4 linked regions of the Struthio camelus genome follow. The protein of the gene in region 2 purifies or fractionates together with the protein of the main gene of each other region. This does not show direct contact. Links are inferred from orthologs where the notes say so. Each region holds a gene or a part of one and is shown on either strand. Other genes may lie near its edges.

Evidence for each region.
Region 1: the proteins of SMNDC1 (region 2) and SF3B1 purify together in Homo sapiens (co-immunoprecipitation; 5 studies listed by BioGRID and IntAct, with this or other methods). This does not show direct contact. The link is inferred for Struthio camelus from reciprocal best matches to the Homo sapiens genes SMNDC1 and SF3B1.
Region 3: the proteins of SMNDC1 (region 2) and SF3B2 purify together in Homo sapiens (affinity purification with mass spectrometry; 3 studies listed by BioGRID and IntAct, with this or other methods). This does not show direct contact. The link is inferred for Struthio camelus from reciprocal best matches to the Homo sapiens genes SMNDC1 and SF3B2.
Region 4: the proteins of SMNDC1 (region 2) and SF3A2 purify together in Homo sapiens (affinity purification with mass spectrometry; 4 studies listed by BioGRID and IntAct, with this or other methods). This does not show direct contact. The link is inferred for Struthio camelus from reciprocal best matches to the Homo sapiens genes SMNDC1 and SF3A2.

The regions. Positions count from the first base shown.
Region 1 is NC_090947.1:11,827,237-11,835,110, forward strand, and holds the start of SF3B1 (splicing factor 3B subunit 1), read left to right. Parts: upstream 1-4,857; 5' UTR 4,858-4,966; coding exon 4,967-4,994; intron 4,995-7,874. UniProt on the Homo sapiens protein: Component of the 17S U2 SnRNP complex of the spliceosome, a large ribonucleoprotein complex that removes introns from transcribed pre-mRNAs.
Region 2 is NC_090948.1:12,478,476-12,486,399, forward strand, and holds the start of SMNDC1 (survival of motor neuron-related-splicing factor 30), read left to right. Parts: upstream 1-4,912; 5' UTR 4,913-5,012; intron 5,013-5,296; coding exon 5,297-5,416; intron 5,417-7,924. UniProt on the Homo sapiens protein: Involved in spliceosome assembly.
Region 3 is NC_090976.1:1,018,037-1,025,401, forward strand, and holds the start of SF3B2 (splicing factor 3B subunit 2), read left to right. Parts: upstream 1-4,346; 5' UTR 4,347-4,372; coding exon 4,373-4,514; intron 4,515-6,492; coding exon 6,493-6,539; intron 6,540-6,840; coding exon 6,841-6,918; intron 6,919-7,365. UniProt on the Homo sapiens protein: Component of the 17S U2 SnRNP complex of the spliceosome, a large ribonucleoprotein complex that removes introns from transcribed pre-mRNAs.
Region 4 is NC_090967.1:3,447,223-3,454,504, forward strand, and holds the start of SF3A2 (splicing factor 3A subunit 2), read left to right. Parts: upstream 1-4,263; 5' UTR 4,264-4,369; intron 4,370-4,378; exon of another isoform or gene 4,379-4,430; intron 4,431-4,484; exon of another isoform or gene 4,485-4,925; intron 4,926-5,160; 5' UTR 5,161-5,205; coding exon 5,206-5,331; intron 5,332-5,819; coding exon 5,820-5,891; intron 5,892-6,234; coding exon 6,235-6,281; intron 6,282-6,605; coding exon 6,606-6,715; intron 6,716-7,282. Other genes in the region: PLEKHJ1 (pleckstrin homology domain-containing family J member 1), read right to left, coding at 661-727, 2,736-2,803, 4,056-4,149. UniProt on the Homo sapiens protein: Component of the 17S U2 SnRNP complex of the spliceosome, a large ribonucleoprotein complex that removes introns from transcribed pre-mRNAs.

The sequences.
Region 1 (7,874 bases), on a different chromosome or scaffold from region 2:
ATAGCTGAAGGATAAAGTGTCGAGAGGTTCATTATGATGGATGTCTGAGGGCAGGCAGAGGTTTTTTGTCTTGGCAGGCTCAGAAATGCAGTCCTTATACCTTGCTTGATATCAGCCGTTTGTGAAGAGAGATTTGCATTTATTAACTTTCACAGGAACACTGGCCCAAATTAATACCGGTGAGATAGAAGACATATCCGGTAACTGAAAGGGCCATGATTTATGACCCATACTAGGAAGAAATTTCATGATTCTGGTTGATTTTCTTTAGTGCTTGGTGTTTTTTGTAAAATCAGCAGTATATATGACCAGTCATTTACATATAGATAGATATAGCTAGAGATATAAAATATAGAGCATACATTTGCATTAGAAAAGAAATGGTTCCGTTTAAACTCAGATTATAAACTTTAAACGATTTGTAAAACATTTCATTGTTAGGATCTCATCTCGAGGATGACCATTTAAAAAATAGACAGAGAGACAGAGTCGATCCTAAATGAGGCAAATAGATCTGAATTATCATTGTTAAAAAAACGTGCTATTTTTAACTTGCTACGTTCAGCTCTGCTTCTACAGATGTGTGAGCAAGGCAACTAGTTTAATGTGTCCCTTTGGCAGCCAAAGATATGCAGGGTGAAGCAATAATAAAACCATTGTCTTCTTACTTACAAAAAGATTTTGAATAGTATCTGCAATTGAAGTATCTCAAAATACCCTATAAACTTCTGTAAAGTCTCACAACCACATCATTAGGCAGAGAAAGACGAACTACAAGCAGGAGAAATGGGTAAATTACTGGTTACATGATCTGCAAACAACAGAAGTTGATGCCACAGCTAAGAATTAAGGGCAGATTTACTATTTCACACTCTGGTACATTATCAGGAGCCATAATATAAAATTAGGAGAGCTTTCTTGTATTTCATATATCACAAGTGAACTAGTTTCTGGCATAGCAAGAATTAGGCATACCCTCAATCTACAAAAGGATCCTCAGACGCCCACTTAATCCTACCAGCTATCACAGAGAGCTCTGTGTCTTTATACTGGATAGCCTGAATCCTGTTATGGGGCTGGTGAATCTCTGCCCAGCTTTCCTGAATTCCTGGTGTGCCCAGTTCATGCCCCGAGATGTTTTGCTGCAGAGCAGTGCGTGGATTATGGCTCCTCACCCCTTTTAGGGATGCCCGTTTACTCTCTGCCTTGGTTTTCCACATGTGCAAAGGGAGAAAAATAGCAGTAGTCCCATTGCCAAGCGGGATCAACGACATTTATAACTGAGCTGTTTGGGTGCAGCAATACTGGAAAAGGCACAAATAGATAAAGCAGGTAGAAGGTGACATGCCCTCCCAGGGCCTGACAGCCCAGGGCCACCCGCACCCCTGGCCTGACCCTGCTGTAAGGACACTGCCACTGCTGCCAAGCCCCGGCACCCAGGTCCAAATTTTCCGGCCAACAGCTGAGAGGACTGACCTCAGGTCAGAAGGGGGCTCTGGCCCAGCCTCAACCCCCCCCCCCCCCCCCGGCACTGCAGTTGCTATTTGCATAGTGTTAGCTTGTGGTGCATTATTTTATACCATTAGGTGTGCGGAAAAATTGAATATAAATAAAAAGTTATTTTGGGGTAAATCAACAGGAGAGTGTAGCCAGGAGCATGGCTTCATTAAGTGAATCAGTGCCAGAAACTTCTGCTGGCCCCTCGGAAGGGGTAAATCAAGGACAGGCTAATGTGGCTGGATACTTCTTTCAGCCACAGTGCCAGCTAATGATGGCTTCAGCTGGCCAAAGAAACTGGACCTGAATCTATTCCATAAAGCAAGACATGGCAGGTCTGTAATTTAGGTCTGATTTACTCTAAATCTGCGAAGCTTTGGGGTTCTTAAATCCAGTCTATTCCCAATCCATAGAGGAGTCTCCCTGCAGTGTATGTGCATGTGCGTGCAGGGGAAGGGAACTTTGATAGGCAAAACAGGACTGGTAAACCACTAAGTACCATCCTGTCCATACCCTGTGGAAGCTGCGTGTTAGGGATGTTGTTCAGGAGGCAAGAAATTTGTGTATGCCTATCGAAGCCCTGAATCCTGACACAAATTAAAGAGCCTCGACAGCGTACAGAATTTGTGAGAAAAGATAAAAGACACAAAGAAGCAGAAAGCAGTTTTGTCACTGCACTTCACAGTATATCCTGCTTCAGCACAACACAATTCCTGTCGGCTCTCACAGCACCTTGAGAGAACTCCATCTTTTGTGGGGGAAATAGCATATCCTCAAATTACTACGTAAAAGAGTTCCTTGGGTTGACCACTGCTGAGCTTAGTGATGCATAACAGCAGAAGGAGCACAGCATTGCTGTCCATAACCGTTCAGCCTCACAGGAGCTGGAAGTCAGGCTGAGGAAACAAGAGAAAGTTACTGCAAATTGATATTCATAGTGAACCCGAGCATGTGACGCAGTTACTTAAAATAGTTACATGCATTAAATTCCTGCAGTAGGGAATTACTGTCTGCCTCAATCTTACCCTCATCTATCTCTAGGCAGTTCAGTACATATCTCCTTTTGTGGCCGCTAAGTATGTGCAAGTACATCTTTCTAGAAATGCAGAATGTGAGCTTAATAATACTAAGAGAAGAGAGAGAAGACTCTCAGTATCTTCAAATGACAGTCTCGTTCACTTAAGAACATTTGAATACATTTAATTATGTGAAAAAATAAAAGCAAGGAACTGTTCAGCAAACTTACGTGAGCTAAGCAACACAAAGCAAAAAGAGGTAGATGACAGATGGACAGATCAAACACAGATATTCCCACAAACATACAACCTTGGCTTTATCTTCTTTAAGACTATCCTCCAGGAGTCCTAATGTGAACAATCAGCCTTCATAATGGGAATGATTTATAGGCAGAGAGTGTGATGGTTTTGCCATCATGTACTTATCTCCCTTTTTGCAAATAATTTCTACATTTTACCTTATCAGAAATTCGTTCAACTCACTCAACAGAAATTGTTTCACATTGCTTGTTGCAAAGGCTTGACTATCTTAGTAATTTAGCAGTTGTACAATAAAACCATAAATACAAGTAAATATACTACATAAGATTACATATTACACTGAGTGCTATGAAACGTCATTAATGTGTTGCAAGATTAAGCAATCCTGTATCTGAACTTTGAACTTAGGTTGTGTGGTTAGCCTTGCTGTTTTGCTTAGATTTTTGCCTACTACTGCTAAAAAATAAGACAATGACGAGTTAGCTCATTTGCAACACTTGATATAAGGGAGAGTTCCAAGGGCTTTGGATGTGGACAGAATCAATCCTATTCAGATATGAAGTGCAGTAGCGATAGTATTGAAATATGGATATATCACATTAAAAGAAAAACTGCTAGAAAAGGTAAGAGTTTCCAAAATGAAATGCTGAAGCTGCACAAGAGCAGTTATTGCAGAACAGCCAAACAATTAGTTTCTGTCACCATTCCTACCCAGGGCACGTTTCATAACCCTCTGATCATTCCTCTGCCCTGGTCTGGACTATGTCCAGCTTGTCCACGTCTTTGTTAAATTGCAGAGTCCTAGAATGAACTGCACCACGATGTACTCCATCAGTGGCTTTGACTGTGCCAAGTGAAGTGAAATGATTGCTTTCCAGGTTTTATATACAATACCACTGTTACTCTATCCCAGAATTGGATTTTCTTCTGCAGCAGCATGATGTTGCTGATACATATTTAGCTTTGATTTGCTATCCACATCAGATCATTTTCTCATTATTTTGGCTATTTTGAAAGTGTATACTTGTTTTCAACTTCCAATATGTACTACGTTATGCTCGTCTTCATTAAAGTCCACCTTCTTGATCTCAAATGATTTCTTTTAGGGATCAAGATAATTTTGAATCTCATCTTGCAGCTACTAGTAACTTTGGCCAGTTTGGTGTCATCTGCCAATTCTAGAAACGTATCTTCAATTCCCTTTTCAAAGGTCTTACTAAAATATTCAGTAGAATTGATCTGCCTAGAGTGCTTTTGTCCCCATTAGACAGAGAAAAACATCGGTAACTATTCTAAGGGCGATTTTTCACCCGTCTTGTGGCAAATATACAAATTTATGCCCTGTTTTTGTATCTGTTGCTTTGTCCTTTGTTATCGGCCCAGTTTGCCTGGTAAGAGCAAAGAAAGGTCACGCAATTTGGCAAAACGTAGCAAAGTTGCCAATCTCCACACCAGAACCAACCCTCAGCAGGGAGCAGCATCAGTGAGAAGCGATTTTTCAGGAAGCAGAGACTTATTTGATTGTATTTTGACTATCCGTGCAGTGCAGTGGAAGCGTCATCGTCTTTCGGTGTCTCAAACGAGAAGAAGGCATCTCGCAGGCAGATACTGAAAGAGCGCCACTCATTTGTCTTTGGCTGAAGACAAACGAGAAACACTGGAGCCCTTGTACTTCAGGATAACACAGCAGCTACTTACTGCCGTGCCAAGGCCAGCAGAAGACACTGTCCCCTATCAACTGGCCTGGAAAGCACCGCTCCCTGCCCTCGCCCTGCGTTTGGGCCCTGCCCGCAGCCCTGCTGCGCCACACGCCTCAGCCCGCCTCAGCGCCCCCCTCCGCGCGCGCCCCTCCCAACGGCCGCCCCCGCGCGCGCCCCTCCCAACGGTCTCCTCCACGGCGCGCCCCTCCCAACGGCCGCCTCCGCACCGCTCAGCCGCCCTGCCATTCGCTGACCGCGCCGTCCATCACGGCGTGGGCGGGGCTCCGGCGCTGGCTCGCGGGGCTGCCCGGCCGGCAGAATGGCACCGCCTCTCGGCCTTCACTGCGCTTGCGCGGGGCCCCGCGCCGCGCTCAACCCGTGCCCCGCCCCCCAGCTGGCGCTTGCGCGTTGAGGCCCCGCTCCCCCTCCCCTCTGTAGCGGAAGTGGCTGGGCCGAGCCAGTTCCGCCTCGGCGTTGTTCGCTCTGGACAAAATGGCGAAGATCGCCAAGACCCACGAAGGTAAAAAGCCCCTATAGAGCCGCGGCGGCGCTGCTGGTACCCGCGTGTCCTGCCCCGGCCCTCCGATTCCGCTTCTCCCCGACTCCTGGGCCGCGTCAGGCCCGGCTGCGCGGCCGGGGGCCGGGGCCGGGCGGGCTCGCCCCGGGCGGGCTGGGCCTTGTGTAATGGCGTCTCCGGCGGTGTCACCGCCATGCCCGGGCCGCCGGCTGGCGCGGGGCCGGGGCGCCGCTCAGTTCCGGCTTTGTTGACCCCGAGAGGCCGCCGCGGCGCGGCGGCGACGTGAGCGCGGCCCCGGTCGCCCGTGGGCCGCGCCGGGCCCGGCCCTGGCCCCGCTCCGCCGCCGCGGCCTTGCCCCCTGCGTGGCGCCCGCTCGGAATGGCGCTTTCCGCCCGCCTCGGTTTGACGTGACGCGCGTCAATAACGCACGCTTATTTTGTTTAAGTGAGCCCTTGGGCCTGTGTCCGCTAGAAAGCGGAGGCCGCGGGCGCAGGGTGAGCTGTGATGCTGATGGCCTGAGTTGTTGCTAGGCGTCGTGTCGGCACGGCGCTGTTGAGAAAAATGCCCCGAAGGAGGGGAAAAAGCAGCGTGAGGTCTCAGGCTTTTAAAATGCCGTTTCAGCACGGAGGCTTCCTGTCGACTGGGGGTTTACATGGGAAAACTGATCTCTGAGCAGTTTGTGAGTGAGGGTCTTTACAGGCAGTATGTTGTTGCTCTCTGAGGTGTTACATGGCTCTGTACAGCATGAATAAAAGCTATCTCTTTTGTCAATGTCAGGGGTTTGTTTAGCTCTTAAGTATCTTAAAGCAAATGGTGTTGTTTTTAGAATTGTACTGCTTAATGCTTTCCTGCAAATGTTTTCTGTTTTTGTGTTTTTACTCATGTTTCTGCGTGTGATAGATGAACTGCTGTGCTTTGTATTAATTTACATACTGGATTCACTAATCAAAAAGTACTTCTGGACAATGGTTGTACCAAGTGAGGTAGGCAGGCTGTCTCTCAGGGAAGTAAGTTTTGCACTGAAAAAAATTCCTAATTTAGAGGCAGCTCCAGGTTGACGTGGACTGCAGGATCTGGTCTGAGCTTATGTAAGAAGGGGAAGCTTAAATAATTTTCTTCACTTCTCCCCCCCCCCCCCCCAAATAATTTGAGATTATATTTTAGCATTCTATAATGTTTTTTATAGAGTTACTGAATTTATTTATCTTCTGGTTATATGCTATGGCATGTATAAGGTTTGTATTGGATATTACCCAATTGGGTGTTACACATCACAGTGCTCTGTCTCTCTCACTAGTCAAAGATATTTTAATAATAAAATAGCAATATGATGTTTTTTCTTATTTTTCTTATACACTAAAGCAAGTCATGGTCCATTGAATTTAACGGAAGTGTTGTCATGCTTCCAGTTATGAGTATTAACAGATTAGCTTTGAAGCAGGCTTTAAAGGGTTTTTTGGTATGTAAATAAATTGTTATGTACAATTGGCAGTCATCATGTAATGTTATCTTGCCCTACATAGACATACTGGCTGAATGACTTGATTTTTTTTTTCTTTTGAGTTGTATGTTTTTTTTTTTTTTTTATTCCTGACTTATCTCCTAAATTGAATGAGTTATCTGTTACTAAATTCTCTTAAGATGTTTCACATCTTTGTACTGCTTTTAAATACTTGCTGATTTGATGTGTTCAAGACACAACTTGGAAAAGATCTCACACAGTTTGGGATTATTTCACTTGCATGATCTACAGGGAAATACTCAGTTAAATTAAAGTTTCAAAGTTATAAAAAGGTTATAAAATAGGAACTTATAAAGTATCTTAAGTGCTTGAGTTTTGAAATGCTACTGAAAATAGGTTTTTAATTGACAGTGCCTTGTTAAATAAGAAAAAAGGTTAAAAGAAGCAAACCTCCAAACATAATAAAGATTTAGTCCTAACACGGAGGAGAATCCTAAAGTGATTAGGATTGCACAGGGCAAGCTAAGAATGCAAAAATATAATTAGTAAATTGGAAAACATAGAAACTACTTCCACTCTAAAATACTTAAAATACTACTTCAATACAGGGAATGATTCTTCTTTCTTTTTTTAATGACGAGTAACGTTTTCCTTTCCAAACGTTGTAGATGGAACTAATCTTATAATAGTGGAGTATGTATTTTGAGAAGGGCTATCATGATCTGACTGTGAACTAGGTTTTCAGTGACTTTCAATTCATATGTGTTCACTTTCATGTTATGTATTCACTGTATTTTCCAAATCAATTGTGCATGTTAAAAGTACTCTTTCAAAAATACCAAAATATGTTAAAGTTACTGAATGGGGTAAAATACAGAAAGGGGATGATCAGTGGGATGTTGTGCTGTGTTTTGTGGTCTCTACTGCTGTTTGATCGAAGTAACTTTCTGTGTTTAGGCCCTGGTTCAGTAAATCATCAGACAAGTACTTCGCTTTACAAAATCACATTCCTAAGCTATCGAGATTACTCTCATTCTTCATCTGTTTTATGTTTAAATGCTTTCTTAAATAGAGTGTTAGATTTTTCTAGAAAATGCTGGCTAGATCAAGGAAGGTAAACATCTCTTTAATCTCAAACTAAAGTCTTTTCCTGCCAAGTATGTGGTACTTTGGAAACTTGCAATCGAGTTGTGTCTGGCTGCAGACCTTTTAAACCTGCTGGTTAAGGGAGGGTGCAGCTCATCAAATGGATGTTCTCTTTAAGAAGTGCTTCATTTAGACTGTAAGTCTAGCACTTACGGACTTCATTGCCTTGGTTGAAAATGATCATGGCCATAAGTGGGGGTTTGCTAACCCTACTGATTCCATGCCGACTCTTTTTGTGGTTTAGAATAAGCTGGCAGGTTTTGCTCTGAGGAAGA
Region 2 (7,924 bases):
TCCATTTTGGCCTAGATTTGGATTGCAATTTCCATTATGAGGCTGGACTGCTTTGTTTGTAAAAGCCAATTTTTTTTAGTTATTAGGTCCTGTGTTGACCACAACAGTCTATCCATGCAGAGGAAGTTCAAAACCAGGAAAATTAGACTATTTGGACACAATTGTCTTTACAGCATTATCTGCTATGGAGCAGCCAGATTTCACTCGCCTTCCATCTGACCCTGAACTGCTTTAGAGTGTAACTTTAAGGACTGCAGAATAGCGATGATTTAACTGCACTTATTTGACATAGTTCATACACGTTTTAAAAGACAGAAACCACTTATCTTATGAAATATTTTCAAGTGTATGTTCCTATTAGCGCTAGCTATAAAAATAATGCCTCTGGTTGTAAGAAGAGACATAATTCTGCTCTTGCAAAATAATCATTTATTGTGTTGCTATTTAAATACATCCAACAATATAGACATTTTATGCAGCACCACTACCACCTACTGGACAATGGAACCACAGTTGCAAGAAGCGGCAATGTCTCTTCCAGCTATAAATTAGCATGTATAGAAGACAGGCCCTTTGTTATAAGCCCAAAAGCATGTCCAACTATACATCAGCTGGTTAATAAAAACATTATCTTCTCAGTAAAATCCCCCCAAACTGTCTGATGCCATTCTTTACAGAGTATCTACGCTACCACTACGCTAACTGCTGCCTAATAGACAGCACCAGCATTGCAAGGAAGTCTCTAGTTATAGCAATTTTCCTATCTGTTCCTAAAGTACTGGAAGATTTATCCAGCAGCTTCCTATTAGGAAACCTAGCTGAAAGCCTCAATGTTAACAGCAAGTAGGTTTGGCTAAGACAAGAACTAATTAAGTTCCTTTTTCTTTCTGCTGTTTACTAAAGGAACCATCTCTATGGCATTTGTGATGAAGAATAGTCTTAAATTTACATGTCTTAATTTTACAATAAACGACACCAAAATCCTATGCAACAAATATGACAAAAGGCTGTATCAAAATCCCAGTAACATAGTATTAGATTAGTTTACTTTGTATGTAACACTATAACTGAAGTGCATCTTTAGACTCTGTATGAATATGGCTTATCTCTACACGTACACTGTAATACTGCAGTACAAAGTACAAACACCTCATAAAAAGTAGGGATTTATGAACTGATACATTTTTTCTGGTAGCTACTCTGTTGCCCATATATAGATGAAAATACTGGATGCAGTTAGAAACTTCCAAACATAGCAAGGACATGCCTGAACTTGCTTTGATCTCATAACAAACGCAGAAGGAACAAACTCTTGACAACAGCTGGATACACACTGTTTTACATAGTGCCAATATGCAATTATGCAGCTATCCCTCCAAGCATAGACCATTTTGTGAAGGTTCTTCTACAACCTATTGTTTATAATTTGGATTCTATAACACGGTACAGTTAAGTCCTGCTTAGGGTTTTCATCAATATTATTACAGAAGCTCTGTTACTGGCAAGCACAGAAAAAATATCTGTGTTTCTGGGTGAAGCTAAATCCAGCTTTAAGAATACAATTCCAGTTTGGAAGAGTTAAAAGATCAGAGGTTTCAAGATCTGCCTAGCCTTCATAGATGTAATAGCATGTGCTCAAATTATAACACGTGTTGAAGTAGCTTCTAGAAAGGCATTATCCTGACTTGAAGAAATCAAGCAAAGCAAAACAAAACAAAACATCCCCTCTGCCTTACCTTTCTTCCCTTAGCAATTAGTTCCAAAATAGGTCTAATTGTCCTTATTTCTTCCATTTTCTAAAATTATTCTGTACAGCTTTAGCTTTCAGTCACTGGACCTTGTTATGCTTTCATGTCTTCAGCACTTCACACTATTTTCCTCTCAAAGTACTTCAGTGTTATAATCAAGTCACCTCTCAATGTCCTATTACCAGCTAAACAGATTCGGTACTTTTAGTCTTCCACTGAGAGACATTTTCTCTAGCCACCGAACAATGCTGGTGGCCCTTTTTAGAAGTCTGCAGACTGCAAAAAAACTCCAGACTCTAGAACCATATACCGTATTTCAGTATTTATTCTCACTCACGCCCTTTATAGAAGTAAAATAATCTCATTACTCTTGCTCCTCTGCTTATACAACCACGGACATTTTCTTCTTTTCCTACTTAGTTGCCTTTGGAGATATTTGCACATTACATGGCTCCTCAGTCCTCTTCCGTCACTTCATTCCTGAAGATATGGCCTACATATTTCTTGTTCATAGATGTAAAGTTGCATTCAGTTGTATTAATGTGCATTTTAACTGACAGGTGTGCTCAAAAAGTCACTAAGATTGCTCTGTATCAACAAACTCGCGCATACCTTTCAACAATTACTAAATCGTTCACAAAGTCTTATCAGCAAATGCTTTTATATATATTTCCCGAATATTAAAGACTGTACTTTAACTTTGTTGTTTCTCTTAGGCTTTGTCTTATCTACAAAGAGCATACAATAAATTCTGTATTTTAATTATCACCACAGTACAGAAACCTCTTTCATATTCTGTCAGGATATCCTCTGAGGACCTAAAGCGAGCATCATAGAACGCAGAAGACAGATTTCCCCCCTTAGCATACCCAAACAGCATCCAAGCCACCCTCCTGTGAAGCACTGCATACCGTAGGACAGGATGTTGGCAGGAGACACTAATCCTCCTGGTAACACCAAGAAAATTTTGGGGCGCATGCTTAATTTGTCTGGCTCACAGGCTCAAAATTGAATTAGTCACCAGATTTCCATCAAGAATTTTTTTTTCCTGGAGCAGGCTTGAAGAGGTCACTGAGTTTTATCTCCCCTTTCCTCTCCTGCTGTAAGGCCAATTAGACTCTTTTCCCGTATTTATACTCTTCTATTCTTAGCATTTTCTTAGTTACAGTGAGCAGAAGGGATACTTTGTTAAGCAAAATACCTATTGCAAGACTATCTACAATTACCAGATGAAAAGCCAGCCAATCTAGTCCTAAATGCCCAATGAAACGAATTCCTAACCTCATTTGGGCATTATTATTCAAAATAAATACATAATTGACAAGGATTTTCTGATGAGCTCACTTAAGACTGCAGTCGTTACTCTGAAAAACGTTCACGTCAGCCGTAAGACTTCCCGTATTTAATTTCAGCTTCTAGTCTAAGAGATGCTGTAGTTAAAGCACAACTCTTTTAGGACAAATAACCACTTTGAATACTAAGATGGCCATTAAAATGGAGAAAATGCCGTAATACTTTGAAAGATCACCCTTGCTCTTAAAAATACGCAGGCTTCATTCTAACCTGGTATTTCTCAGTCTTCGCTTCTTCTCACACTGGATTAAAGAATACTTTACTGTAAAAACTTTAGAAAGCTTGTACAGTACACTGCTTGACAACATAGTAGTAGTAGCATTTCACTTAATCCTTTGATGGAGCCAGTGTCCCAGCACATCTCAGCATCTTCCTTCGAGAACATGAAAAGCAGCTGTGAGTATATTTTGGCATCTTTTATACACTACAGTAACTTTCAGATTACGCATATTATTAAGGACAAGTTGGGACAGACTCCTTCCAAAGAGCAACAGTATATGGTATTCCCTCTGATTCCCTATTCTAGACTGTTTAGCACTGAATTCTGCATGGCTTTAATTATCAGTTAAGTATCTTGAAAGTATGTGTTTGATGCTGTCTAAAATAAAGATGCAAAACAGAATATCTATCACGCGCACGCAACCTCAAATACCAGGCTGTCTCTTATAGTAGCTAGTGGTCAGACCTGAGATTTGAGGTCACTCGTTCATGAACAAACAGCTGAGCCTTGTCCTGAAGAAAAAGATTTTCATGAAATTCATACTTTCAGCTGACATTTATCCATTTAAAATTCCTGCTGCACCTACAGTGTGTAACAGGGAGCCAAGAAAATTACACGCCTTGTGCCAAGGAACTGCAGCTGCAACAATACAAAGACAGCAAAAGAGCACGGGGAGGGCCACGGCTCTGTCTGAGGACATGTATGTTGCTGACCTTCTTTTCCACGTGATTTGAATGCGGTAGGGGCGTTGTTAGGGAAAAACCTGGCTACACAGGAACAGCACAACCGAGAGCCAAGCACAGGCCCCCCAAGCTGCAGAAAGCCTCCTTCCGGCTCTCCCAGCGCCGCCTCGGAGCGGGCCCCAACCCTCAAGGTCCCGCTCACAGGCCCCAGCGGCGCTCACGGGCCCCAGGTGCCGACCCCCGGCGACGGGCTGGGGCCTTGAAGGCCGAGGCGCCCAGCCCAGCCCGGGCCCGGGCCCGGGCCCCGACCCCGGCCCCGGCCCCGCTCCCTGGGCCGCCCTCCGGCCTCAGCCCGCACCCGCTAGGCGCTAGCAGCGCGCATGCGCAATACACCCCGCCTATTTCCCCCCCCCTCGCCCGGGCGGCGGTTTAACAACGCTCAGCCGGTGTCCGGCCGCTCCCGAGTAACAGGGCGCGGCCCCGCGGGGCAGGCACTACAGGGACCGGGACCACCACCGCCGCCGCCTGCCGGGCCGGGCCAGGCCGGGCTGAGCCGGGCCGGGCCGGGCCCGGGCCCGGGCCAACGGCGCCCTTCGCTGCGCCCCTCCAGGCCGGGCCCAACGGCTCCCTCCATCCCCGCCGCGCGTCACTGCGCCTGCGCCGCGGCGAAGCAGGTGCCCGGATGAACCGTGGCGCGCCTGCGCGCTGGCCCCGCCCCGCTCTCGTTTCTTCACGCGGTGGCGAGATGCCCCCCCTCTGCAACCTCCCGCCCCCCCTCACGTGACCGAGGCGCGTGACGCAGCGAGGCGCTCCGCTGGCCAACGGCGCGGGGCGGCGGCACGTGACCCGTGGCCGCTCTCGCGAGCGTCGGCGCCCGCCGGAGCGCCTCGCCCCTCCCCCCGCCCCCCCCTCCCTGCGGCCCAGGCGACGCGGCGAGGCCAGGCGAGACGGAAGCGGCCGCGGCCCGACGGGACCGAGAGCGGCGCCCCCCGCCCCGGCCCCGCCGAGGTGAGACCCCCCCCCCTTTCCCTCCCCTCCCGCCGCTGCCGCCGGGCGGGAGCCGCCGCCCGGCCCGGGCCCTCCGCCGCCCCCTTTGTTCGCGGCCCCGGGGCGCCGCGGCCTGCGGCGGGGCAGCCTCGGCGCGGGGGCTGCGGCGGTTGAACCGCGCGTTATCCAAACTCGGCGAGTTGCGTTTCCAATGCTTTCTGCGTCCGCTCGGCGCCGTTTCCCTGGCACTGCCGGACCGTGGGTTAGGAAAGGGTAAACCTGTTCGCGATGCGTGTTTCTTGCAGATGTCGGAAGACCTCGCTAAGCAGTTAGCGAGCTACAAAGCTCAGCTTCAGCAAGTGGAGGCTGCCTTATCTGGGAATGCCGAAAATGAAGACCTGCTAAAACTGAAGAAAGACTTACAGGTGAGACTTTAAGGGCATGAGTAGCTGAAACTTCTAGGTCTTTAGGGATTGTTTTCCTAGATGCTCGCACTGCAATAAAAATAAATACCTGATGGGATTATTACTTTCTTTTCATATAATTTGCTAGCGTTGTGGTATGGTTGTTAAAAAACAAAGTTTGGCCTATTTTAAATCTTGTCTCCCCGGATACTCAAAAAGATGTACTATCATTTGTAGCAAACCCTTCTGCTTAAAACTTTTAGCAAAGGTTGTATACAGCTAATAACTTTTCTCTTTAGAACATCACTAAAGCTGAAAATCTGCCTAGAAGTCAGTAGGACAAGAAAAAAGTTGGTGGAAACAATTGTGTTTTTTAGCTTCCAGGGAGTGAGAGAGCGATGAAAGATATGCCAGTGCTGTCTCTTTCTCTCTCATTCTTTATTTTTTTTTTTTCCAAACATTCCTTAGAATGATCTCTCTCCGCTTTAACTGCTAACCTTTGGCTGAGATAGTATCAGAACTGCGATAAATCAAAAATAAGGAAAACTAAATTTTAGATATTGATGAGGGATAAAATGTTCAAATAAAATTATGCAGTGATTAAACAATGTTGTTATTCTTGTTATTTCTACTAGGTTGAAGCCTAATGGTTGGGCTTAACATTTTACCTTTCTACTTATTCTTGAGTTGTCAAATTCATTTGATCCGGAATCTGTTTATTTGTTACATGCGTTTACAATTATACAAGCTCTGGAGTGTAATTCTGTATTCCTTGTATATCTAAGCCTTGATTGTGTTAAGATTTTTATATGAGAAGGGAGAATCAGATTTGTCCTTCATTTGGTATCTGCAGCTCCTAACCATTCGAACTTACTGCATTGTCAAGAAGTAAAACTCATTTCTGGTCCTTAGGATATTGTTCAGTGATAGGAAGACTGCCAGGCTAATTATAAGGTGATATGTAGTCTTTTATATTCTTATGTGTATACTAGACACATTGGCATATAAGAAAACAGCAGTACAGTACAAATTTGGCATGTCAGTGCAAAAATGCTGCTGCTTTTCTATTGTGGGTTGCTTTAGGTATCAGAATTAAAAAATATATATAAAACTGCCCAGTACAAAATTCCGTAACCACTATTCAGAATGGAAATAACAGCAATAGAAATGATACTTCAACCAAAATACAAGTGCTTCAAATCAGTCATCTTTAGAATTCCTTTTAAATTGTAAAGGCTTTGTGCCCATAGGGCACCTTGTAGATCATCTAATGTACTTCGCTGTACACTGTTAAAAGCATGTGTATATTTTTATATTTTTAAAATACACAGCAAAACCCATATGGGATCACATTTCCGATACCAGCACGATCTCGGCTTTGATATACAGAGATCATTGATGTGAAAGGACAACTTGCAAACTTTTTTATAAAAGCTCTCTGCGCAGAATGGGGAAGATGTTTACACTTTCGTCCCCAAAAGGTTTGCTATATCTGTATGTTCCACCTTGAAAATGACATAGAAAATGTTTTGCAAAGTTAATGTATGCCAACCAACCTATTGTAAAAATGTTTCTAAGTCTTTAGCCTCCCAGTTACATAGCTTTTTGTCTGCTCAAAAAGAACGTTACTATGTAACTGAAACTTTTTTTTTCTAATCAGAAATAAGTGATGCACTATGCAGGTGTCAGAAATGATGCACTAGAGGTGCATTTAGTATACTCAGCTTATTCCTGAGTAACAGGATCAAAATAAGCATTACAAGAAATGTTTCCGAATACTTAGCTTTTCTTCTTTTGTTTCGCTGAAACACTTCTAGGATAGTGTCCATGCAGCCCAGGGCCAAACTTAACTTTTGTGTGAACCAGAGTTGATCTTAGCTGTCATCTTCTTTAACTGGAGATGATATTGTGGGTATTGCATTCCAGAATGCACAGCTCTGTCTGAGCGAGAAAAGTCCAGTTGGCAAGGAAAAAATTTGGCAAACTCAAACTGCTGTTCTCTGTGGGTTGCACTTCCATGTCACAGGGGATGTGGCAGCAAGTCATACTGTATAACTCGGTTGGCTGTATTGAATTTTCTTGGTAGCCTAACTCTTGTTCAGAAATTTCCTTTCACTAAGCCACTCAGCTTCCCCTAAAGACTTCTTTAGAATTATCTTGTGAATTGCCATAAGATTAATGTTTCTGTCTTTTTATATGTGCTTAGCATTATGATATGTGGATATCAAATGAAGATTTTTACCAGAAGTTTGCTGTTTCTAGTTTGCTGCTTAAGTGACTTTATCAAAGCCGAAGAACTCCTGGCAGACTTGTCTGAAACTATTCATGTTGAATTCTGTAATAAACCATTTATGAAGGAGGCAAGAATAAGTCAACAATAAGTTTCATATTACAATGGTAGCCTGCATAACTGAAACACTCTCTTTCAGGTAGCTGTTGTCTGGTTTGCTGTATTTGACCTGCTGAGTTAGATGCCTATTTCAAACTGTGATGCCCCTTGGATTTGCAGAATATTATTATGTTGACAAA
Region 3 (7,365 bases), on a different chromosome or scaffold from region 2:
CAGCACACCCCACCGACAGGGCACTACCCCGCACACCCCCAGCACACCCCACCGACAGGGCACCGCCCGGCACACACAGACCCCCAGCACACCCCACCGACAGGGCACCGCCCAGCACACACCCCCAGCACACCCCACCGACAGGGCACCGCCCCGCACACACACACCCCCAGCACACCCCACCGACAGGGCACCGCCCCGCACACACACCCCCAGCACACCCCACCGACAGGGCACCGCCCCACACACACACCCCCAGCACACCCCACCGACAGGGCACCGCCCCGCGCACACACCCCCAGCACACCCCACCGACAGGGCACCGCCCCACACACACACCCCCAGCACACCCCACCGACAGGGCACCGCCCCACACACACCCCCAGCACACCCCACCGACAGGGCACCGCCCCGCACACACACACCCCCAGCACACCCCACCGACAGGGCACCGTCCCGCACACACACACCCCCAGCACACCCCACCGACAGGGCACCGCCCCGCACACACCCCCAGCACACCCCACCGACAGGGCACCGCCCCGCACACACACACCCCCAGCACACCCCACCGACAGGGCACCGCCCCGCACACACCCCCAGCACACCCCACCGACAGGGCACCGCCCCGCACACACACCCCCAGCACACCCCACCGACAGGGCACCGCCCAGCACACACACCCAGCACACCCCACCGACAGGGCACCGCCCCGCACACACACACCCAGCACACCCCACCGACAGGGCACCGCCCCGCACACACCCCCAGCACACCCCACCGACAGGGCATCGCCCCGCACACACACCCCCAGCACACCCCACCGACAGGGCACTACCCCGCACACCCCCAGCACACCCCACCGACAGGGCACCGCCCGGCACACACAGACCCCCAGCACACCCCACCGACAGGGCACCGCCCAGCACACACCCCCAGCACACCCCACCGACAGGGCACCGCCCCGCACACACACCCCCAGCACACCCCACCGACAGGGCACCGCCCCGCACACACCCCCAGCACACCCCACCGACAGGGCACCGCCCCGCACACACCCCCAGCACACCCCACCGACAGGGCACCGCCCCGCACACACACACCCCCAGCACACCCCACCGACAGGGCACCGCCCCGCACACACACACCCCCAGCACACCCCACTGACAGGGCACTGCCCCATACACACCCAGCACACCCCACCAACAGGGCACCGCCCCGCACACACACACCCAGCACACCCCACCGACACGGCACCGCCCCGCACACACACACCCCCAGCACACCCCACCGACAGGGCACCGCCCCGCACACACCCCCAGCACACCCCACCGACAGGGCACCGCCCCGCACACACACCCCCCAGCACACCCCACCGACAGGGCACCGCCCCGCACACACACCCCCAGCACACCCCACCGACAGGGCACCGCCCCACACACACCCCCAGCACACCCCACCGACAGGGCACCGCCCCGCACACACACACCCCCAGCACACCCCACCGACAGGGCACCGTCCCGCACACACACACCCCCAGCACACCCCACCGACAGGGCACCGCCCCGCACACACCCCCAGCACACCCCACCGACAGGGCACCGCCCCGCACACACACACCCCCAGCACACCCCACCGACAGGGCACCGCCCCGCACACACCCCCAGCACACCCCACCGACAGGGCACCGCCCCGCACACACACCCCCAGCACACCCCACCGACAGGGCACCGCCCCACACACACCCCCAGCACACCCCACCGACAGGGCACCGCCCCGCACACACACCCCCAGCACACCCCACCGACAGGGCACCGCCCCGCACACACACCCCCAGCACACCCCACCGACAGGGCACCGCCCCGCACACACCCCCAGCACACCCCACCGACAGGGCACCGCCCCGCACACACACCCCCAGCACACCCCACCGACAGGGCACCGCCCCGCACACACACCCCCAGCACACCCCACCGACAGGGCACCGCCCCGCACACCCCCCCAGCACACCCCACCGACAGGGCACCGCCCCGCACACACCCCCAGCACACCCCACCGACAGGGCACCGCCCCGCACACACACACCCCCAGCACACCCCACCGACAGGGCACCGCCCAGCACACACCCCCAGCACACCCCACCGACAGGGCACCGCCCCGCACACACACCCAGCACACCCCACCGACAGGGCACCGCCCCGCACACACACCCCCAGCACACCCCACCGACAGGGCACCGCCCCGCACACACAGACCCCCAGCACACCCCACCGACAGGGCACCGCCCCGCACACACAGACCCCCAGCACACCCCACCGACAGGGCACCGCCCCGCACACACACCCAGCACACCCCACCGACAGGGCACCGCCCCGCACACACACCCCTAGCACACCCCACCGACAGGGCACCGCCCCACACACACCCCCAGCACACCCCACCGACAGGGCACCGCCCCACACACACACCCCCAGCACACCCCACCGACAGGGCACTGCCCCACACACACACCCCCAGCACACCCCACCGACAGGGCACCGCCCCACACACACCCCCAGCACACCCCACCGACAGGGCACCGCCCCGCACACACACCCCCAGCACACCCCACCGACAGGGCACCGCCCCGCACACACAGACCCCCAGCACACCCCACCGACAGGGCACCGCCCCACACACACCCCCAGCACACCCCACCGACAGGGCACCGCCCCACACACACACCCCCAGCACACCCCACCGACAGGGCACCGCCCCACACACACCCCCAGCACACCCCACCGACAGGGCACCGCCCCGCACACACACACCCCCAGCACACCCCACCGACAGGGCACCGTCCCGCACACACACACCCCCAGCACACCCCACCGACAGGGCACCGCCCCGCACACACCCCCAGCACACCCCACCGACAGGGCACCGCCCCGCACACACACACCCCCAGCACACCCCACCGACAGGGCACCGCCCCGCACACACCCCCAGCACACCCCACCGACAGGGCACCGCCCCGCACACACACACCCCCAGCACACCCCACCGACAGGGCACCGCCCCGCACACACCCCCAGCACACCCCACCGACAGGGCACCGCCCCGCACACACACCCCCAGCACACCCCACCGACAGGGCACCGCCCCGCACACACACCCCCAGCACACCCCACCGACAGGGCACCGCCCAGCACACACACCCCCAGCACACCCCACCGACAGGGCACCGCCCCGCACACACACCCCCAGCACACCCCACCGACAGGGCACCGCCCCGCACACACACCCAGCACACCCCACCGACAGGGCACCGCCCCGCACACACACCCCCAGCACACCCCACCGACAGGGCACCGCCCCGCACACACAGACCCCCAGCACACCCCACCGACAGGGCACCGCCCCGCACACACAGACCCCCAGCACACCCCACCGACAGGGCACCGCCCCGCACACACACCCAGCACACCCCACCGACAGGGCACCGCCCCGCACACACACCCCTAGCACACCCCACCGACAGGGCACCGCCCCACACACACCCCCAGCACACCCCACCGACAGGGCACCGCCCCACACACACACCCCCAGCACACCCCACCGACAGGGCACTGCCCCACACACACACCCCCAGCACACCCCACCGACAGGGCACCGCCCCACACACACCCCCAGCACACCCCACCGACAGGGCACCGCCCCGCACACACACCCCCAGCACACCCCACCGACAGGGCACCGCCCCGCACACACAGACCCCCAGCACACCCCACCGACAGGGCACCGCCCCACACACACCCCCAGCACACCCCACCGACAGGGCACCGCCCCACACACACACCCCCAGCACACCCCACCGACAGGGCACTACCCCGCACACCCCCAGCACACCCCACCGACAGGGCACCGCCCGGCACACACCCCCAGCACACCCCACCGACAGGGCACTGCCCCACACACACACCCCCAGCACACCCCACCGACAGGGCACCGCCCCACACACACCCCCAGCACACCCCACCGACAGGGCACCGCCCCCCGCACACACACCCCCAGCACACCCCACCAACACGGCACTGCCCCGCACACGCGTTCCCACGGCGTGCTGAGTCATCGTGCCCGGGCCCAGGCGTCCGGGGACCCCTCCTCCCCCCGGGGCCCAGGCGTCCTGCCCCCCCCCCCCCCGGGTGCCCGGCCGTTACCTCAGGGCCGGCTCGGCCGCCTGGGTCCCACCCGCCTTCCCGCGCCGGGGACTACAATTCCCAGCAGGCAGCGCGCGGTCGCCGCCGTCATGACGCCATGACGCCATGACGCCAGGTCGGCAGGTCGCCTGGCGCGTGCGCGGCGGGAGGGGGCGGCGGGCGCGGGAAGGAAGATGGCGACGGAGCGGCCGGAGGCGGCCGCGGGCCCCGGCGCGGGGGAGTTGCCGCCGCCACCGCCGCCGCCGGCGCCCTACGCCGCCTGGGCCCCCGCCGAGCTGCAGGCCACGCTGGCCGACATCGGCGCCCCCGCGCAGGGTCCGCCGGGGCGGGGCGGGGGCCGGGGGGGTCTGGGGGTCAGAGTTGAGGGTATTTGGGGGCAGGCCGGGGGGGCGTTTGGGGGCTGGGGGGGGCAGGCCTTGAGGGGGGGTTGGGGATGGGGGTGTTTGGGGGCTGGGGGGGGTCGGGGGGGCAGGATTTAGAGTATTTGGGGACAGGCCGGGGGGCGTTTGGGGGCTGGTGGGGGCAGGCCTTGAGGGGGGGTTGGGGATGGGGGTGTTTGGGGACAGGGATGGGGGTGTTTGGGGCCTGGGGGGGGGTCGGGGGGGCAGGATTTAGAGTATTTGGGGACAGGCCGGGGGGCGTTTGGGGGCTGGGGGGGGCAGGCCTTGAGGGGGGGTTGGGGATGGGGGTGTTTGGGGGCTGGGGGGGGTCGGGGGGGCAGGATTTAGAGTATTTGGGGACAGGCCGGGGGGCGTTTGGGGGCTGGTGGGGGCAGGCCTTGAGGGGGGGTTGGGGATGGGGGTGTTTGGGGGCTGGGGGGGGTTCGGGGGGGCAGGATTTAGAGTATTTGGGGACAGGCCGCGGGGGGGATAGGGATGGGGATGGGGGTGTTTGGGGACAGGGATGGGGGTGTTTGGGGGGAGTTGTAGGAGTATTTGGGGCAGGGACGAGGGGAGGGTTGGGGACAGGGATGGGGGTATTTGGGGGGAGTTGTAGGAGTATTTGGGGCAGGGACGAGGGGAGTTGGGGACAGGCCGTGGGGTATTTGGGGGGAGTTGTAGGAGTATTTGGGGCAGGGACAAGGGGGGGGTTGGGGACAGGCCGTGGGGGTTTTGGGGGGGAGTTGGAGGAGTATTTGGGGCAGGGACGAGGGGAGGGTTGGGGACAGGCCATGGGGGTATTTGGGGGGAGTTGTAGGAGTATTTGGGGCAGGGACAAGGGGGGGGGTTGGGGACAGGCCGTGGGGGTATTTGGGGGGAGTTGTAGGAGTATTTGGGGCAGGGACGAGGGGAGTTGGGGACAGGCCGTGGGGTATTTGGGGGGAGTTGTAGGAGTATTTGGGGCAGGGACGAGGGGAGTTGGGGACAGGCCGTGGGGTATTTGGGGGGAGTTGTAGGAGTATTTGGGGCAGGGACGAGGGGAGGGTTGGGGACAGGCCGTGGGGGTATTTGGGGGGAGTTGTAGGAGTATTTGGGGCAGGGACGAGGGGAGGGTTGGGGACAGGCCGTGGGGGTATTTGGGGGGAGTTGGAGGAGTATTTGGGACAGGGACGAGGGGAGGGTTGGGGGCAGGCCGTGGGGGTTTTGGGGGGGAGTTGTAGGAGTATTTGGGGACAGGGACAAGGGGGGGGTTGGGGACAGGCCGTGGGGTATTTGGGGGGAGTTGTAGGAGTATTTGGGGCAGGGACGAGGGGAGGGTTGGGGGCAGGCCGTGGGGGTATTTGGGGGGAGTTGTAGGAGTATTTGGGGACAGGGACGAGGGGAGGGTTGGGGACAGGCCGTGGGGGTATTTGGGGGGAGTTGTAGGAGTATTTGGGGCAGGGACGAGGGGAGGGTTGGGGACAGGCCGTGGGGGTATTTGGGGGGAGTTGTAGGAGTATTTGGGGCAGGGACGAGGGGAGTTGGGGACAGGCCGTGGGGGTATTTGGGGGGAGTTGTAGGAGTATTTGGGGCAGGGACGAGGGGAGGGTTGGGGACAGGCCATGGGGGTATTTGGGGGGAGTTGGAGGAGTATTTGGGGACAGGGACGGGGGGGGGGGTTGGGGACAGGCCATGGGGGTATTTGGGGGGAGTTGTAGGAGTATTTGGGGCAGGGACGAGGGGAGTTGGGGACAGGCCGTGGGGGTATTTGGGGGAGACTCGGAAGGGCATTTGGGGACAGGGATGGAGGTATTTGGGGACACTGGCAGGGGGATTTGGGTGGGGGGGGGCATTTGAGAGCAGGTTTTGGGGTGGGGGGGAATTGGGGTCCCTCCGGGGGTATTGGGGGTCCCTGACCGACGGGTGCCCCACAGGCAGCCGGGAGGAGCTGGTGGAGCGGCTGCAGACCTACACCCTGCAGGTGAGCCGCCCCGGCACCCGCGGGTGGCCCTGCGCCGGGGCACCCTCGGGGGGGGTCAGCCCCTCCTCGTCCCCCACGTGGGTGCTGCCGTGTCCCAGCGTCCCCCCGGGTGGGGGTCCCCCATGTTCCAATATCCCCCCCCAGCTGGGATCCCTGCTCCACATCCCCTCCCACCATCTGGAGTGCAGTCCCTGTGTCCCCTCAGGGTGGGGGGGGGTCCCTACACCCTCCCCCGAGGCAGGGTCCCCAAATCGGACACCCCATCACCACGTTCCCCCCCCCCCCATTTTGCACCCCACAGACAGGCATCGTGCTGAGCCGCCCTGTGCTCCGGGCAGAGGAGGGCGACAAGGCGGCGCAGCCCCCGCTGCCGGGGCAGGTAGGGCCCTGGGGTGCCCTGTGGGGGGTGGCGGGTGCTGTGGGGGGCAGGGGGGGCTCTGGGGTGCCCCATGGGGGGCGGTGGGTGCTGTGGGGAGCAGGGGGGGCTCTGGGGTGCCCCATGGGGGGCGATAGGTGCCATGGGGAGCAGGGGGGACTCTGGGGTGCCCCATGGGGGGCTCTGGGGGGCTGTGGGGGGCCGGGAGGGCCCTGGGGTGCCCCATTGGGGGCAGCGGGCGCTGTAGGTGGCAGAGGGGGCTCTGGGGTGCCCCATTGGGGGAGTGACAAGTGCTGTGGGGGTTGGGGGGGCTCTGGGGTGCCTCATTGGGGGGCAGAGTGACGGTGGGTGCTCTGGTGGCAGGGGAGGGCCCTGGGGTGCCCCATGGGGGGCGATGGGTACCATGGGGAGCATGGAGGACCCTGGGGTGCCCCATTGGGTGGTGAAGGG
Region 4 (7,282 bases), on a different chromosome or scaffold from region 2:
CTTTGGAGACAGTGAGAACGTGGTCCCTCCCGGCTGGAAGAGAAGACAAGGCTCTGCACAGAAAAGCAGCTGTGCCTGACAGCCAGGCCAAAAGATATGGGGATGGCCTTGGAGAAACATCCTGTTATTTTTGCCACATACCTCTTGCACAATGATTAGTTGTTGGATGAAAGGCTGCTTACAAAGGACGACACACCATGAGCCAGCTGGAGTCATGGCTATCAACACAAGGACAAACAGTGTGGCGGGAGGACTGGTGCTAGATTAGTCTGACAGATGGTTTATCTGAGGCTCACTTTTTTTGATAAAAATGTAATAGCACAGAAGCAGCAATCTGTCAATACCAAACCCTCCTAGAGAGGGATTTCCACAAGCACTAAGCCATAGCCAGTGTGTTTTTACAGCTTCTTTCCTCACAGGCAGCTGTGCAAATCACACACACTGACGATTTCAGCCAGCAATGAAATACCACCGTCTCGGGAATGGCAACATCACAGTAACAACTGGCAGCTGACAAAGAGAGGGGCTGAGGAACACTAGGCCCAGTGTAACCAGAGAAACACAGGGAAAAGCGGGAACTAAGTAGCAAAACATTTTCTTTTATATAGTATTTTTAATTGCATAAGGGAAACACAAACGGCATCTATATGCAGAACTCACTGATTGAGAAGACGTTCTCCTCCTCTTTGGTGATTCTGCAGTGCTCCAGCAGCAGAGCTCCGATGGGCTAGAAAAAGACCAGGAGAGAGGGTTTAAACACATGTTGTCCAGCCAGTGCTACAGGCATGGATCACTAGGGGAGAGTGACCAGATTCATTTTAACCCAGGAGGGGTTATAGGGGAAACCTATCAGAGGAACTGTATTTCCAGGAGATCTTTGCATATTCTGCACTAACTGCAGTAAAAAACAGAAAATCAAAACCAAACAAGTTATGCCAGTGTAGCAAGTTCCTGACCTTCAGCTGATGCTGGAATAAACGTGCATACTCACAGCCTCATTCCTTTGCGGAAAAAAAAAGATTTGCTCAACAAACTGTGAAGACAGCTTGAAACATGCGAGATATACATGTATACATATGCTTTGCTCACATAGTTCTGAACCCACAGAATTTTGCTACTGACTTTTAAGTTTCAAAACTTGATGCGGCTTTTAAGGTAATTTAGTCTACAATTAAAGGAACGTTCAGTGTTCTTCTAAGCAACCGATTTGTGTCTGCTGACATGCTTCATTTTACTAGTCTTATTTTTAACTCTCTGTTTCTACTTCCTCAGATTCAGTCTGGGGGTTAGCATGCACTTCTGTGATGCACAGACAGTGACAGAGTTTACTCTCTAGCTCAACAGATCAAATTAAGATGAAATATTTCAGAGGGCACAGAGAAAGACTAACAAAATTCCACATTTAACTTTGTAAGGGCAGGCTCAAAGCTTTGCAAGAGGCTAAGAACAGTGTGTTGATGAACTAGAACAGTTCAGGATAAACAGACAAACGGCAGGTACTATTTGCCACCCAGTGCACGCTGAGCAAGGACATGAGAACCAAGGAGTGATAGAAGCCATAAACAAAAGCAAACCACAAGTGAATTCTTTTGTCCAACCTAAACAAAACGGAAGAGACAAATAAAGCAGCAAAGAAGATACCGAAAAATCTGTTTAAAATATGTATTTCTGGCATGACAGTTTTACTTTAGCACTAATCACCTGCCAAATTACTTTTGATCCATTCAATAACATCCTCTGCCTTCCATCAAAACCCACAAAAATGCTTAAAAATAATAATTGTCAGAACAGAAAACAGCAAAACTAGCTTTAGGTTGCAGTAAAGGAGACAGGCTGTAAGGAGTATCCTCCGACTCTCATAACAGAACGCTCACGTGGGAGTTACAGACGAATCTTTACATCTGTCTGCATGTCTACATACACACATACAAGAATGACTGCTCAGCTTTTGGCCATACCTAGAGTATTGTGATTGCAGCTTCAGTGGAAAAGTGATTAGTGACTGCAGTTCAGTAGGCAGGAGAAAAGAAATATCTTAAAATAAGAGCATAACCATTATCAGGGTTAAATTTTGTAATGGACACAGTCTAAAAATGCCACATACCTCTTGCCAGCATGCACACAGCGTGTTTCTTCACACACGCTAAAAAGATTTCTTTTATACTCATTTTTCAACTAGAGACTCTTTAGCAACAGTTATTAAGGAATTCACTTAAAAACCATAATATCTCAGCAGTGGCAAAGCCAGAAACTGAAGCCAGATGTCTTATCCCTCATTCTACTTTTCTAGACCTAAACAGGGCCTCCGAATGCCAAAAATAATAATATTAACAGAGCATAACCATGCAAGTTTCTCAGGAACAGTGAGCACTGTATGTAAGCAATATTCCTGGTGTAGAAGAGAAGAAACAATGCTAATTCTTTTCCCAGGAGAGCATAATATAAACTTCCGCTCACAGTTTAACACGAAAAGCTGCAGCCCTACAACTAAACATTACAGATTCCATCTTTTGCAGTTTTGGGCAATGGTTATGTTTAAAAGACTCATTCCAGATGCATGCAAACAGTATCTGGATGTGGTTAGATGGCAGTGATTTCTTCTCACCCATAGGAGCTTTTACTGTTTTGATAGAAGAGCAAATGTGGGCTCACTGTTCTGGCTAGGGCAGCCTGTTACTGTACCAATTTACAAAGTACATAAAGTCAATTCACAGAGAAAAAAGCAGATTCCATACCTCCGCTTCATCTGTCCGGAAGTAGAAGAGAAAGTTGACAACAAGCTTCACAAGGCGTTTCTTTAACACTGCAAAGAAAAAGAGCATTCAGGTGGCAAGTCTGTGGGATGAAGCGTGTGAGCCAGCTGGCAACGGAAAGGAAAAGGGAAGCACATTCCATCTTTGCTAGCACCCAGCAACACGCTGATTCAACCAAGTCTAGGGGGAAGCTCCATTTTAATTTAAACCTTTGCCGCAGGAGCATCCAATACTAAATCATGCTTGGCCCACTCAGGAAATGCACCGTCTCGATTTATCCCAGTGGGCTGCAAAAAGATGACAACAGAAGTGTCGCAGATTTCTCTAACACCTTCTGGCTGGACCGATCCCAAAGTACGGTGTCAGCTATATACGTGATACAGCCTCCTGCATGTGGCATCTCAAATCCAGGGAGAGACCCTGCCTGGAACTATCAGCACAAAAGTCACTTCTTGAGGATAAAGCCTGTCAGGTCCCTGCAGGTCCTCAGGAAGACAAAAAGCTCTGGGCAACAGCATTGATTTAACATTTAACAGCAAGGAATATTGCAGCAGTATTTCAGCAAAGAGCCTCTTATTTTGACAGACACACTCAAAGCGTTGGGAGAGAGAAAGGAACGTATCTACTTTCCACCCTGATGCCTCCTGCTTCCCTTAAATCCCTCCACATCTCTCCATCTGCATATCCCTCCAGTTCTCCTATCACCCAGTCCCACTTTCACGGCCTCTGCCAGCCACACTCTGCCCCAGCACGTCCAGTCCAGCCTCCTCGTCCTGCCACAGTACCTCCACCCCAGCCCGAGCCCCTCCAGTCCAGCACCCAGTCCTGCCCCGATGCTGCACCCCCAGTCCAAGCCCAAGATCTTCATTCCTGTTCCCCAGCCTTATACCCCCGCTCTACCTCCAGTCCAGCCCCCCAGTACTCCCAGTCTGGCCCTTGCCCTTTCCCCCCAGTACTCCCAGTCTGGCCCTTGTCCCTTCTCCCCAGCACTCCCAGTCCGGCCCTTGTCCCTTCCCCACCAGCACTCCCAGTGCGGCCCTTGTCCCTTCCCCACCAGCACTCCCAGTGCGGCCCTTGTCCCTTCCCCCCAGCACTCCCAGTGCGGCCCTTGCCCCTTCCCCCCAGTACTCCCAGTGCGGCCCTTGCCCCTTCCCCCCAGCACTCCCAGTGCGGCCCTTGCCCCTTCCCCCCAGTACTCCCAGTGCGGCCCTTGTCCCTTCCCCCCAGTACTCCCAGTGCGGCCCTTGCCCCTTCCCCCAGTCCTCCCCGGCCCGCTGTCCCCGCCCGCCGGGCCCCCCTCACCGCTCCCCTTCTTGGGCACCCGCATCAGGATCTCGGCCGCCTTCTCGGCGGGCTGCCGGGCCAGCGAGAGCAGCTCCCGCTCGTTGTAGCGCATGGCGAGGCCCCGCCGCCCTCGGCCGCCGCCGCCGGGCGGCCCCGGCTCCCCTCGGCCCCGGCCCCGGCCCGGAACCGCTCCCGCCCGGAACCGCTCCCGCCCGGAACCGCTCCCGCCCGGCCCGGAACCGCTCGCGCCGCGCCGGAAGTCGCGCGCCGCGGGAAGAGGGGGGGGGCGGTGCGCGTGCGCGTGCGCGGAGCAGGGCGCGGGGCGCGGGCCGGTACGGGCCGGGCCGCGGGGGGGGGGGGGGTGCTCGGAGGGAGGGGTGGCCCGTCCTGGGGGTCAGACCCGTGCTGAGGGGCTGGGGGGGGGGGGAAAGGGGGACTTTGAGGGCTGCTCGGGGGGTGGGGGATTCGCGTGTGGAGCTGTGACCTTTGCTGCGGGGCCGGGGCGAGCGCGAGGGGCCTGTGACCCCTGCTCAGGGCGCGGGGGGGGGGGGGCGGCTCTGGGGCCTTCCTGGGGCTGCTGAGGCCGGGGCCTTGCTGAGGGGTTGGGGCCGGCGGGTGGCCCTGGCCTCCGCCGAGGGTTTGGGGGCTCAGCGGAGGAGGCTCTGCGGCTGTGCTGGTGCGTGTGTGGCGGGGGCGTGGGGCAACTCAGCCTTGGACCCTTGATGGGGCTCTGGGGCTGTTCGTTATCGAGATGGAGGGATTGGGGGCACCTAGTGGGGCTCGTGTGTTGCTAGGGGAGCTGTAGGGCCTTGCTGGAGCCCAGCTGAATGCTTGGGGGAGGAATCCGTCTCTCCTTTTTGCTGAAGAAGGCGTTGAGGAGGTTGGAAGGTCTCTGGGCGGGTTATTTAGGGTTTAGATCGTTTTGGTTCTACTCAACACGCAGCTTGTTGAGTCAGCGCCCCAAGACCTACTGACTTTGAAATTGTGTTCTGTAGCGAGCTCTTAGCGAACGCTTTTACTGTGCCCATCTCCTTTTCTTACTGGTGGGTCTAAATAGGAGAATGACGTCTAGGTTAGGAAAGGCATTAATTATCACCCATGTTGCTTTCCTTCATTTTTCCAGACTTTTTCGTTCTTCTGAACTAGTTGAAGTAGAGAAGTCCCCATCATGGATTTTCAGCATCGTCCTGGAGGTAAAACTGGAAGCGGAGGCGTAGCCTCCGCTTCAGAAAGTAACCGAGACCGCAGGGAGAGACTTCGGCAGCTAGCTTTGGAAACGATTGACATCAACAAGGTGAGCATTGACCAGTCTGTGTATTTAGGAAGGAAAGGACATGTCACTTCAGTCCTACAAACTGTGGCTAAGTTCAGAGCTCTGCTGCCTGGATGAAACAGTTTGGAAGATGAGAGATTTGGTGGAGAGTTGTAGATTTGAATGAAATACTTCTGTTTCTTTTAATGCAGGAGAAACATTTGTGAAAGGGCTGAACAGAGAGAGGCCAAAACTTGTGCATTCAAATAGCTGCCATTGCGTTATTCTTGGGCTTCTCAGGACTGGTTCATATTTTGCTGTTTCTTCACAGCATTTGGGTCTGCTGTTACCGCTTAACAAAATTAGTGTTGTTTGTCTCTGCTTTTATATTCCTAAAATAATGTTATGCTAATAATTGAAACCCAAGAACTCAGTTCGTCCAGGGCAGGAAAAAATCTGCATTATGTGTTTTGATTACTCTATTGTTTTGCCATGAATTTTGCTTGTGACTTTAAAAATTCTCTTCCTAGGACCCTTATTTTATGAAAAATCACTTGGGTTCTTATGAATGCAAGCTTTGCCTAACGCTACACAACAATGAGGTGAGTCTATCTTAATCTCCATGCAAAGAAATATTTTGGAATAATATTAACTTCAAATGCAACAATCTGAGGCATATGTAATGACTGATTACTGAGGAGATGGTGAGTGAGGAGTGGTTTGTGTGTGTTAAAGCACGACAGTTCGTGACAGCTCAGCAGTTGTGAGCAATCTGCAATTTTTGAGTAAGATTCCTCTCTGGTAAAGGGGTTAAAATATCCTTGTGGTTTAGAGCGTTTTTTACCTGTCAACATGTAACATAGCTTCTCGTCTATGACAATTATCTTCCAGTTTAAAAACAGTCCTGTCTTCATTTAACTTTCTTCTATCTTGCTTTCATTTCAGGGAAGTTACTTAGCGCATACCCAGGGGAAAAAGCATCAGACCAATTTGTAAGTCATTCTCCACTGTAGCTTTATTCTCCATTACTTAGGCACTCCAGAAGTATGATTGCGTTCATCTATAAATCTTGAATTATGTAGCGGGACACTGTGCTTGAATATCCTTTCACTTTTGAAGTGAACAGCCTGGCACTGGTGAGCAGGTATGGACTAGATCTGCTCCAAACAATGGTGCCAACAAGCTTCGTTTCAAGCTGAAGTTCAAAGCCGGTTGTGGAATTTCTGAAGGAAGGGGGAGAAAGAGCTTTAAAAGCAAACTGCGTAAGTCTGTTTATATCAGGAGTAGGTCTAAGCACCCCTCCCGCATGATTTCAGGGCCCGTCGAGCTGCCAAGGAAGCTAAGGAAGCTCCTGCCCAGCCTGCACCAGAAAAAGTCAAAGTGGAAGTGAAGAAATTTGTGAAAATTGGACGACCAGGTTATAAAGGTATGTCGGGGTGTCTGTCGTGGCATATACTTAATGCTTGGTGAGCTTGCTTGAAGTGCTGTGCTGTGTGTATGAATTATTAATTAGTCTTTTTAGCAGATCTGGCCATGAATAAGATATGGACTTATCTCCTGATGTCCTTGATTGTTTAAATTACCCATGGAACATCTCTTTAGAGCTGACAGTTGAGTGAGGATCTTTTTAATAAGAGATTGCTGTGTCTCAGTCTTTCAGCTCTTATTATAACAGTGAGACGGAAGATGATGACATTGCTTCAGTCTCTCCTCCCCTTTTTATTGTGCTGTACCATCTTTCAGTGATGCTCACGAATCACTCATTGGGTGTATAGCTCAATTTTTTCCCCTCAGCTCCCCATTGTTTTGCTTTAGCCTTCAGTCTGTCTCCCATCTTTGTTTGCAATGCACAGTGTGTCAGTGTCTTTGTCCCACAGCAGCTGAATTTCAGTAGTGACCCATAGTAGCTTTGGTTAAAGACAGTGTAGCATTTGGTAAATGAAAAAAATCTCACAATGTTTTGTTGCATGGAGCTTTGTGTATTTTGTAGGGC